Linked DNA regions of Callithrix jacchus. The protein of the gene in region 2 binds, or shares a complex with, the protein of the main gene of each other region. Links are inferred from orthologs where the notes say so. Each region holds a gene or a part of one and is shown on either strand. Other genes may lie near its edges.

What was found. The genes of interacting proteins can lie anywhere in the genome.
Region 1: the proteins of TLE6 (region 2) and YWHAG are in contact, whole or in part, in a cryo-EM structure (PDB 8XI3), measured with the Mus musculus proteins. The link is inferred for Callithrix jacchus from reciprocal best matches to the Homo sapiens genes TLE6 and YWHAG. Residues at the interface, in NP_444484.1 of Mus musculus: Phe137, Leu138, Ser139, Glu140, Ser141, Asp142, Leu144, Gln145, Leu295, Arg347, Asn430, Leu447, Gln470, Met472, Asn489, Asp510, Asn511, Thr512, Met530, Pro553, Arg555; in NP_061359.2 of Mus musculus: Lys50, Arg57, Arg61, Lys125, Asp129, Arg132, Tyr133, Gly174, Leu177, Asn178, Val181, Glu185, Phe201, Asp202, Ile205, Ala206, Leu208, Asp209, Glu213, Tyr216, Lys217, Thr220, Leu221, Ile222, Met223, Gln224, Leu225, Arg227, Asp228, Asn229.
Region 3: TLE6 (region 2) and KHDC3L share a complex: the UniProt entries of both Homo sapiens proteins name them as parts of the subcortical maternal complex. The link is inferred for Callithrix jacchus from reciprocal best matches to the Homo sapiens genes TLE6 and KHDC3L.

Annotation. Positions count from the first base shown.
Region 1 is NC_133503.1:11,117,742-11,121,962, reverse strand, and holds the start of YWHAG (14-3-3 protein gamma), read left to right. Parts: upstream 1-1,411; 5' UTR 1,412-1,592; coding exon 1,593-1,679; intron 1,680-4,221. UniProt on the Homo sapiens protein: Adapter protein implicated in the regulation of a large spectrum of both general and specialized signaling pathways. Binds to a large number of partners, usually by recognition of a phosphoserine or phosphothreonine motif.
Region 2 is NC_133523.1:2,770,318-2,773,511, forward strand, and holds the end of TLE6 (transducin-like enhancer protein 6), read left to right. Parts: intron 1-567; coding exon 568-718; intron 719-1,403; coding exon 1,404-1,480; intron 1,481-2,404; coding exon 2,405-2,509; 3' UTR 2,510-2,686; downstream 2,687-3,194. UniProt on the Homo sapiens protein: Component of the subcortical maternal complex (SCMC), a multiprotein complex that plays a key role in early embryonic development.
Region 3 is NC_133505.1:78,451,580-78,454,718, forward strand, and holds KHDC3L (KH domain-containing protein 3), read left to right. Parts: upstream 1-1,220; 5' UTR 1,221-1,290; coding exon 1,291-1,459; exon of another isoform or gene 1,460-1,654; coding exon 1,655-1,834; exon of another isoform or gene 1,835-1,872; intron 1,873-2,115; coding exon 2,116-2,453; 3' UTR 2,454-2,629; downstream 2,630-3,139. UniProt on the Homo sapiens protein: Component of the subcortical maternal complex (SCMC), a multiprotein complex that plays a key role in early embryonic development.

The sequences.
Region 1 (4,221 bases), on a different chromosome or scaffold from region 2:
CTGGGATCACAGGTGTGAGCCACCGTGCTTGGCCAAAGCTTACTTCTTATTGACTTCTAGCATATTCTACATATCTTCTTGGGTAGGGATTTTTGTCTGTTTTGTTCACTACTGTACTTCATGGCTTAGAATAGGGCTTGGAACACAGTAGCTTCTCACAGATAATTGTTGAATAAAGTAAATACAATGTGCAGTCAAAACTATGGGGCCTGTAGGCATAGTCGCTCACGTCTGTAATCCCAGTGCTTTGGGAGGCCAAGGCAGGAGGATCGCTTGAGCCCAGGAGTTTGAGACCAGCCTGGGCAACAAAGCTAGACCCCTGTCTGTACAAAAACCAAAACAAAGCAAAAAAATTATGGTATCTGCAAGCTATGTGGAATATTAAGAAAGGGAAGCATATGAAAGAGAATATATCAGCATGACATCAGTATGTATGTATGTTTTGGGAGGGGAGAGAAGGCTGGACAGCCAAGCCCTAGACACAGCCCAGTTAGGCGTGGAGTAGGCTCCTGGTAGCTGAACTAAATCTTTAGTACTCCACCCTAGAGAGGAAGAAGGGGTCCTCCAGGGTCAGCCAGCAGACAGCTGCATCCTTTCTGGAAACCAACCAGTGTGGCCAGGCGGTATTTGTTTTCACCTAGTCAGACCCAAGAACCTCAAGGTGGGGTGGGGGGGTTAGCGGAAGCTCGTTGGGGGAAGAGGTGACAGTCCCCAGGGTCTGGCTGCTTAATTCAGCCATCCCGCGGGCAGGCACCACACTGTGAGTCTGGATCTGCAAGGGACGCGCCTCCTGTCTTTCCCACACCACGATCTACTAAGCGATCTCGGAAACAGGGTCTAGGACTGAGGCCCCTGACCCCTCCTCTCGTAATTTCCCGTAGAATTTGGGGCGGGGCGGTGAATCAGCACTCGCAGGTACCGATGCAGCCCTGATCCCCGCCAGGGGTCCCCAGCGGCCTCGGGATTCGAACCAATCCCACCACCCCTCCCCGTTCGTCCTCCTGTGCCTGCGCGCTACGTCCGCTGGGAGTTGTAGTATTGACCGCCCCTTTGTCCTTGGTCTTGCCAACGCCTCAGCCCAAGGCAGGTTGAACTACAATTCCCAGAGGCCCATGCGTCGGAAGCCTGGCGTGCTGAGGGCTCAAGGGGAAGGGATAAGGGGGCGTCTGGAGAAGCTGGGGCGAGGGAACTGAGGAGTGAAGCGAATAAAGGAAAGCGTGGGGGCTCAGTGGGAAAGGACAGGGTGCCCGAAAGACGCGCAGTGAGCCGAGTTGGGGAGCGGGGAGCCCCAACTGTGGCCCGGCCCGGGCGGGGCCTGGGCGGGGCTTGCGGGCGGGCGGGGACTGGCTGCGTCACGCAGCGTGGGCGGGGCCGCAGAGGGTTGTCCGTCCGTGGCACGCACAGCAGCCGCAGCCGCCTCGCGCCTGGTCCCGCGGTCGCAGCTCCAGCCGCCTACTCCGCGCAGCTGCCGCCTCAGCCGCTTGCCCTGTGGGTTGGTCCCCTCGGCCACTTGGGCTCCAGCCGCGCCCTCTAAGCCCTTCAGGCCGCCCCAGTGTCCTTCTTTTTCTCCGGCCCGACCCAGCTCCGCGACGATGGTGGACCGCGAGCAACTGGTGCAGAAAGCCCGGCTGGCCGAGCAGGCGGAGCGCTACGACGACATGGCCGCGGCCATGAAGAACGTGAGTGTCTCCTCCCCTCCCCCGCCACTCCCTGCCCCTCCGGAGACGCGGTCCTCGGCGTGGAAGGCCCAGGGCTTCATCGCCTTGTCGCGATGGCGGGGTGACTGCACCGTTTCGCTCACTGAGGGGCCCTGGGGAGGGTCCCGAGAGGCGACGGGAACCCTGGCTGTGACGCGGCCTCTGCTGGCGTTCCCGGGGCCCCGCGGCTCTGCCTCTCAGGCCCTGCGCGGGCGCGGGCCGGGGCGGGGTCCTGCGGGCCTGGACTTGGGAGCGGGTTCTCCGGCCCCCGCGGCTCTGGGGGTGCAGGGGACCCTAGCGGGGAGCCGTGCGCATCCTTTGTGCCCCACTTCCCCCCTCCTCCCAGCCTGGGCGTGGGGGCGGGGGACCGCATGGATGCGGTTCCTCTTTCTCTCCCTGGTGTCTGGGCGGCGCCTTTCCCATTCACTCAGCAGGTCTCCCGGTTTTCCGCCTCCCGAGCCCCCCCAAAATCTTCCCCACCGTCTCTCCCGACAGATCCCTGAGAACCTTCCCAGGAACATCGTGTAGGGGGGTCTCTTGAAAACCTGAGCCCTGTGGTGCAAAATCGAAACCACCTTGCTCTCGTTTTTCTTAACAAAAGGCTCCTCTTTCTCCATTCCCCCAAAGCGAGTCCTCCGGCTTTTAGGAAGGGGGAACGTTTATCTCGCTAGCGTTTTCATTGATCGTTCTCAACATGTCATCTCCATCTTATCCCCTAATGTTTTTGTTTTGAAAAGGGTAGGTGTTGCCTCCAAAATAAAAGGTGGCGAATGTAGCTGACTGGTTCGATCTGTGACATAAGCCGTTTCTTTTTTGCATACAGGCACGCGTCTGTTGAAATTCCTATAAGTTGGGGGGAAATATTCTGTCTGATCTGATACTGCAAACAAAGCGGTGGTGAGAGGCAGTGTCAAGTCGTTCCAGAAGATTCTGCATTTGTCATATTGCAGAGAGCCTAGACTGGGTGGAGGCTGGGAGGAGTTATTTTAAAGGGGAAAAAGTCCTTTAAAAATGTTTTTGTTGTTAGATGCCTCTGAGGCTTTTTTTTTAAGCGAGTCCATCTTCCTGCCGATGAAGAGAATCCTGATCCCCAGTTGTCGCATTTTGTCTGGGTCGCAGATTCCTCCCTGGATTGCACCATTTTGTCAGTAATGTCACATTTATCTAATGGGCTGTCAACCAGTTTGATACTAGAGGAGGGGGAAGTATTGAACTTTAGGAAATGAAAGGTTGAAAATTAATTAATCTAATTAATGATTTCTGAGCCCCACTATCTTAATATTTAACTTCCTGCCTTATGTAACAAAGGTTTTCAAATACATCTCCATTGTGAAGTGGATGCTGAAGTGTATGTACCTTGCATGTTACAGCTTTTAAATGAAGCATTATTGATATTACAGGTCAATTCTTGAATAACTTAACCGGTTCTCAGAAGAGGAGAGTGCTGATACCTTTATATTTAAACCAGCCATATTCACAAAGAAAGGTTGTTATTTTATTAAAGAAGAGAATTGGTTCTGAAATTGGGGGTACTGCTGTGGTCACAGTCTCTGTCTTCTAAAGTTTTAATGCTCGAGTGATGTAAGTTGCACTGCTAATAGGTATCAGTATTGGAAATATCTTCAGTTCGTGTTATTTAGACTCTTCTAATTTTTCCATATTTCTAGTTCCACAGGAAAGCGAGTGACCTCGCACCTATATCCATAGCAACCAAGTGATGTCACACAATGACACAGAGGCTGCAATGCACCTAAGGGCTGATAGGGAGTGTGCAAATGGCATTTGTCCAAGGTAATGCAGAAATTAGCCGATAAGCCAGGTGGAATCCAGCTCTTCATATTCCACCAGATAAGAATTAGTCCAAAAAATAAGGATTTCATTTACCCTTAGACATGCAGATCTGTGACCTCTAGCTAGGCCTTGTTCCCCCTATTGCTGGCTTTTTCACAGAAGTTTATAAGATGCTTTTTTATATTTTTAAACATTCATCTCACTTATTTAGAATACTGGGCAGTGATAGAATAAAAGTAGAAATTTTAAGCAAGAATATATTTTATGATAACTGTGCAGAGATGGGATGTATCCTTGAGTTTTTTTGCAGATAATTTGGCAGATTTTAATAAAAACCTTAAAAAATGACTTCCTACTGAGTCGTTTTCAGTTGCTATTAGGGAATGAGAACCCGTTACAAAGCCTTTTAAGTCAAGGTTTGGGAAGTTTGTTTGTTTCTAGATTTGTGCTTCTCCTTTCCAGTATGCAGGAAAGAACAGTCTGTAAAATAAAAACCTTTTTTCAAATCTGCTTCCTGTGACTTTAAGGAAATAGTCTCTGTACCTCATTTTCCTCATCTGTAAAATGGGACAGTACTTGAAAAAGCTGTGCGGATTCGATAAGAAATGTAGTAGGTGTTCCAAAATGGCAACTACCTGAGACATTTTCTTCCTGTTTATAAAAGTCATCATGGAGAATTTTGGAAAGTGCAGAGAAAGAATCCAGTCTTTCCATTCAAGTGAGCTCTCCTTCA
Region 2 (3,194 bases):
GGGTGTGGTGGCGGCACCTGTAGTCCCAGCTACTCAGGAGGCTGAGGCAGGAGAATCACTTTAAACGGGAAGGTGGAGGGTGCATTGAGCCGAGATCGTGCCCCTGCACTCCAGCCTGGATGACTGAGCGTGACTCCATCTCAGAAAAAAAACAAAAAAAATTTGCTGTTTAAATAAGAAACACTTGGCCAGGTGCAGTGGCTCACGCCTGTAATCCCAGCTACTGGGGAGACTGAGGCAGGATAATCGCTTGAACCGAGGAGGTGGAGGTTGCTGTAAGTCGAGATCACGCCACTGCGCTCCAGCCTGGTGACAGAGCGAGACTGTTTTCTTAAAAAAAAAAAAAGCTTAAATGCTATATTGGGTGCAGAAGTAGGGAAGACTGTGCTCATATTACAGACCAACAAACTGAGGCACAGACACGAAATGACTTGGGCCAGGGCTGGGCAGCTAGGAAGGGGTCAGGCACTCAGCCTCCAGGATAGGACCCCAGTCTCCTGCCTGCCTTTTGGGCCAGGCTGGGACCTAACCAGCTTCCTCCCTCCCCACTGCCCTTTCATTGCCCAGATAATGAGCCTGTCCCACAGTCCCCAAGAGGACTGGCTGCTGCTGGGCATGGCCAACGGCCAGCAGTGGCTACAGAGCACCAGTGACAGCCGGCGGCAGCTGGTGGGGCAGAGAGACGGCATCATCCTGAGCGTCAAGTTCTCCCCCTTCGGTAAGTAGCCGGCGGAAGGAGGGGGGTCTCCCCCGCAGCCCCCAGCCTCCCACAGGACCCCATCCAATGCCAGCTCCCCACCCAACCCTCTAGGGTACCTCAAAACCTTTCTGGAGGCCGGGCGTGGTGGCTCGCACCTGTGATCCCAGCACTTTGGGAGGCCGAGGCGGGCGGATCACCTGAGGTCAGGAGTTCGAGACCGGCCTGACCAACATGGAGAAACCCCGTCTCTACTGAAAATACAAAAATTAGCCAGGTGTGGAGGCACGTGCCTATAATCCCAGGTACTCAGGAGCTGAGATCACACCATTGCACTCCAGCCTGGGCAACAAGAACAAAACTGTCTTCCCCCGCCGCCCAAAAAAAAAAAACACTATTCCAATACTGCACCAGGCCAGTATCCTGGTATCTCTGCAGCTACTCGGGAGGCTGAGGCAGGGGAATCGCTTGAACCCAGGAGCTGGAGGTTGCAGTGAGCCGAGATCACGCCATTGCACTCCAGCCAGGGCCACAAGACCAAAACTATGCCTCATCCCCCACCCCCCGAACAATCAAACAGCAGCTGTTCCATAGCAGAAGCCAATTTTGGGGCTGTTCCTCCAGGGGGACAAGGGAGGGAAGGGGGTGGGTGTCTGGGCCCTGCCCCTCCCCCACCTGGTGCTCCCACCACCCTTGTTCCTCCCAGGCCAGTGGTGGGCGAGCGTGGGGATGGACGGCTTGCTCAGCATCCACAGCATGCCAGTGGGGACAAACGTGTTCCAGGTACTGTGGGGTGAGCTGGGGGTGGGACCTTGGGGTGGCCCCAAAACCATGTTTCCAGCCTGGGCAACACAGCAAGACCCTGTCTGTACAAAGAAAAAATTAAAAATTAGGCCAGGCTCGGTGGCTCACCCCTATAATCCCAGCAGTTTGGGAGGCTGAGGCAGGCAGATCATGAGGTCAAGAGATCAAGACTATCCTGGCCAACATGGTGAAACCCCATGTCTACTAAAAATACAAAAAAAATTAGCCAGGCGTGGTGGTACACACCTGTGGTCTCAGCTACTTGGGAGGCTGAGGCGGAAGAATCGCTTGAACCCAGGAGGCAGAGGTTGCCGTGAGCCAAGATTGTGCCACTGCACTCCAGCCTGGTGACAGAGCCAGACTCTCAAAAAAAAAAAAAAAAAAATTACCCAGGCATGACAGCTCACACCTATAATCCCAGCACTTTGGGAGGCTGAGGCAGGAAGATCCCTTTCAGTTAGGATTTCAAGACCAGCCTGCCCAACACAGTGAGACCCCATCTCAACAAAAACTCAGAAAAGGCCGGTCAGGGTGGCTCACGCCTGTAATCCCAGCACTTTGGGAGGCCGAGGCAGGCGGAATTGCCTGAGCCCATGAGTTCAAGACCAGCCTGAGCAACACGATGAAACCCCGTCTCTATTAAAATATAAAAAATCAGCCTGGCGTGGGTGGAGGAGACCTGTGGTCCCAGCGACGCGGGAGGCTGAGGCAGGAGAATCGCTTGAACCCGGGAGGCGGAGGTTGCAGTGAGCTGAGATCCCACCATTGCCCTCCAGCCTGGGCAACGGAGCAAGACCCTGTCTTGTCTTCTTGGAAGAGCCCATGCCTCATGCTAGAGCTGACGGGTAAAGACCAGGGGTGCGTGAGCCCTTCCCCAGCTCAGTGCCTACGGTTCCCCCTTAGGTACCCGAGACGTCCCCGATCCTGTGCTGTGACATCTCGTCCAACAACCGCCTCGTTGTCACCGGCTTCAGTGAGCACGCCGCCGTGTACCAGATGACCTACTGAGGGGCCTTGGCTGCCGTCATCGGACTGCACTCCTTTCTGTCCCCCGCCTTTTTCTTCCCCCAACCCGGTGGTCGTGGTGGAGGGAGGTGGGGAAGGGTCTTCTACCGTGTTGAAAACCCCCCTCTGTGGTGAGCTGGCTCATTGCCATCACACGTAATAAAGCATCCAGGAAAAGCAGAGCGGATGCGGCCTGTCCTCTGAAGGGGAAGGGGCCTCCCCATCCCGTCCCTGCTCGTTTTGTGGAAAATTGGAAGGACTTTATCCAGCCTGGTGGCTCTTAGCCTTTTTTTTTTTTTTTTTTCCTTCCAGGATCTGTCGCGAAGGCTGGAGTGACGCCACCGTCCTCTCCATCCTCCTGCCTCACCCTCTGGAGGAGCTGAGACGGCAGATGTGCGCACCACGCCCGGCTGATCTAATCTTTTTAGATGCTGGGCACGGTGGCTGACACCTGTAATCCCAGCACTTTGGGAGGGCGAGGCAGACAGATCATTTGAGGTCGGGTGTTAGAGACTGGCCTGGGAAACACGGTGAAACCCCGTGTGTACTAAAAATACAAAAAATTAGCTGGGCGCGGTGGCTCAAGCCTGTAATCCCAGCACTTTGGGAGGCCGAGGCGGGTGGATCACGAGGTCAAGAGATCGAGACCATCCTGGTCAACATGGTGAAACCCCGTCTCTACTAAAAA
Region 3 (3,139 bases), on a different chromosome or scaffold from region 2:
AAAATTAGCCGAACGTGTGGTGCACGTCTGTAATCCCAGCTACTGGGGGCGGGGTCTTAAGGCATGAGAATCGCTTGAACCCAGGAGGCAGTGGTTGCAGTGAGCCGAGATCGTGGCATTTTACTCTAGCCTGGGCGACAAGAGTGAAACTCCATTTCAAAAAACAAACCAAACAAAGCAAAGAAACAAAAAATGGTGGCTCACGCCTGTAATCCCAGCACTTTGGGGGCTGAAGCAGGTGAATCACGAGGTCAAGAGTTCAAGACCAGCCTAGCCGACATGGTGAAACCCCGTCCCTACTAAAAATACAAAAATTAGCCGGGCGACATGGCTCGTGCCTCCAATCTTAGCTACTAGGGAGGCTGAGGCCGGAGAATCGCTTGAACCTGGGCGGCAGAGGTTGCAGTGAACCAAGACGGTGCCACTGCACTCCAGCCTGGGCGAGAGTGACACTCCGTCTCAAAAAATAAATAAAAATAAAAATAAAAATGGAAATATCAAAAAATTTCAAGGAATCTCCTCTGGTATCTAAACCACGGGAACTGTCTGTGGTTGGGTGGGTTCAAGGCTGCATTAATTAAAAGCGCGCCACAGTCCCACCACTGGGGATGATAAGGAGGGAGGATTTTTTAACTCCCCAGAGTTGAAAACCAGCAAGAAAGCCAGATCCCATAACTTTTTTCCTATCCATTTATTTTTTTTTTTACTATGCAAATCTCACTACACAGACCCTATAACTTAAAAAAAAACAAAAACAAAAAAAAAAAACCCTTATTCTGCCCTGTACTCAGCTGTCTCAGGCAGGTAACAGAATAATCTGAAAACCTGGTGCCAGAGGAAGTAAACATAGTGGCCAGGGATAAGAAGCTCTGGGAGACCTAAGAAGTATTCATTCTGCAAGTATCAGTTCCTTCTTCTGAGAAAAATACTGGGCTTATCCACGCCTTCCTGAGTCCATCTTTAAGACTCCCGCGGCTTTCCACTGGATTCCTGGAGCCCAGAGCCCGGTTTCTCCCACCGGGTGCGCTGAAGAAGGGCTGTTCCTGACAGAAGGAACCCTCTGAGAGCAGCCCAGAAACCAGCGCGCTTGTGCGGCCTCGGAAGAAGCCAGGGCCCTAGGAGACGGAGGCGACGCCTGGAGTCCAATGAGAAGGGAGCGGATGGAGAGGAGGGGCTGGCCAAAAGCCCTTAAAATAAGACCCAGCTGTAAGCGCAACTCTAGTCGCCTACCTCCAGCTCGTCCTTTGGGTTTGCGGTTGTGCTCTGGTCTCCTGCAGGGCGGGCGGCAGCATGGACACTCCCAGACGGTTTCCGACGCTCGTGCAACTGATGCAGCCAAAAGCAATGTCATTCGAGGTGCTCGGTCAGCTCCCCAAGCAGTTCTCCTGGTTCCACTCTGAGTTTCTGAAGAATCCGAAGGTAGTTCGCCTTGAGGTTTGGCTGGTGGAAAAGATCTTCGGTGAGTGGACTAGGGACGGGTAACCCTCATGCGGCTTCTTTCTGCACCCATACCTACACCCCACATGTTCTGGCCGCGTTCCAGGGCAAACCTCCCTAGTAGCCAATGTCCTCTGGCTGTCTCCTCCTTCCAACTTCCTCTCCCAAGGCCCCTGGGAGCTACCCGTCCCTCACATCCTCTCTGCTCTCGGCGCAGGCAGAGGCGGAGAGCGCATCCCGCAAGTCCAGGGTCTGTCCCAAATCCTGATTCACGTGAATCACTTGGACCCCAGCGGCGAGGCTGAGATCTTGATATTTGGGAGGCCTTCTTACCAGGAGGACACAATCAAGATGATCGTGAACTTGGCTGACTATCACCGCCAGCTCCAGGCGAAAGGTACGAGGTTGAGAAAAGGACTACTTTGAGCAAATCCTGTCTCCGTAGGAGTGATCCTGGGTTTTACTGGCTGCTGGGGCGGCAGTCTCGCCCTCCCAGTCGGCCCGCGGTTGGTGGGTGAGGGAGGGGGCGGTTCTGGTCGCCACGGATCGAGAAGGCCAAACTGAACTTGCGTTCTGGGATTCCTGGCTCCTACTCCCGTAGGCCACATGGGTGACTGTCCTTTTTTAGAGAGGATATAGGGATACAGCTGTGGCCTCTGCACACTGCTCTTCTTCCAGGCTCAGGAAAGGCCCTCGCCCAGGATATAGCCACTCAGAAGGCCGAAACCCAGCGGTCTTCAATAGAAGTCCGGGAAGCCGGGACACAGCGCTTGGTGGAGGTCCGGGAAGCCGGGACCCAGCGTTCGGTGGAGGTCCGGGAGGCCTGGACCCAGCGTTCGGTGGAGGTCCGGGAGGTCGGGACACAGGGTTCTCCGGTGGAGGTGCGGGAGGCCGGGACCCAGCAGTCCCTCAAGGCTGCCAGTGAGTCGGGGACCCAGCGATCTCCCGAAGCTGCCAGCAAGGCACGGACCCAGCGGTTTTACGTGGATGCCCGGGACCCAGTTACTAGATTATGAAGGCATTTCAGGCCCTGGAACCAGAGCCAGTCAGGGGTTAAGTGGAAGCCCGATACACTTAAGCCTCAGAAGGTGGGGTTGGGGGTGGGGGAATCATGATGTGAATTGTTTTGTTTTACCCCTTCTGTTGAATGGTTGCAAACACAAACTTGAGTTCTAATAAAGAATTGCATTTCCCTAACGTCTGTTTTTTGGAAGGTAGAGGGGAGGGAATGCCCATTCCTATATCAGCCCAATTCTGCCCTGCGCCGCTTTCCACCTCGAGGCAGGTGGGACCTCGGGTTCTTAGCCGCCCAAGGTCGCAATCTACCCCGGCTGCGCTTCGGTGTGTCCCTTGTGCTCCTTAACCGCGTTCATCTGGTTTACCCAGGTGAGAATCCTATCTAACCCACTAGGAAACCTCTCCAAGCCCGCTCTGGTTCTACTCAAGGTTAACTTGGGATGAGAAAACCGGGTCGCTTGGGGCTCAGCTGGATTTGGAATACCCTGTGTGTATTGCGATTCTGCCACAGACCACTTTCCCAGTTAGGGAAAATGACATCGGGGAAGGGGGAAACGGAGAGGGCCGAGCTGTGCCACTGTTGCCGTTGTCAGGTCTTGCTTGGGTCACCGACTTTGCACGAAGGTCGTGGACACCAAGATGCAGGCATCGGCTACTCTGGCCGCGAAGAGTCCCAGCAGAGAAC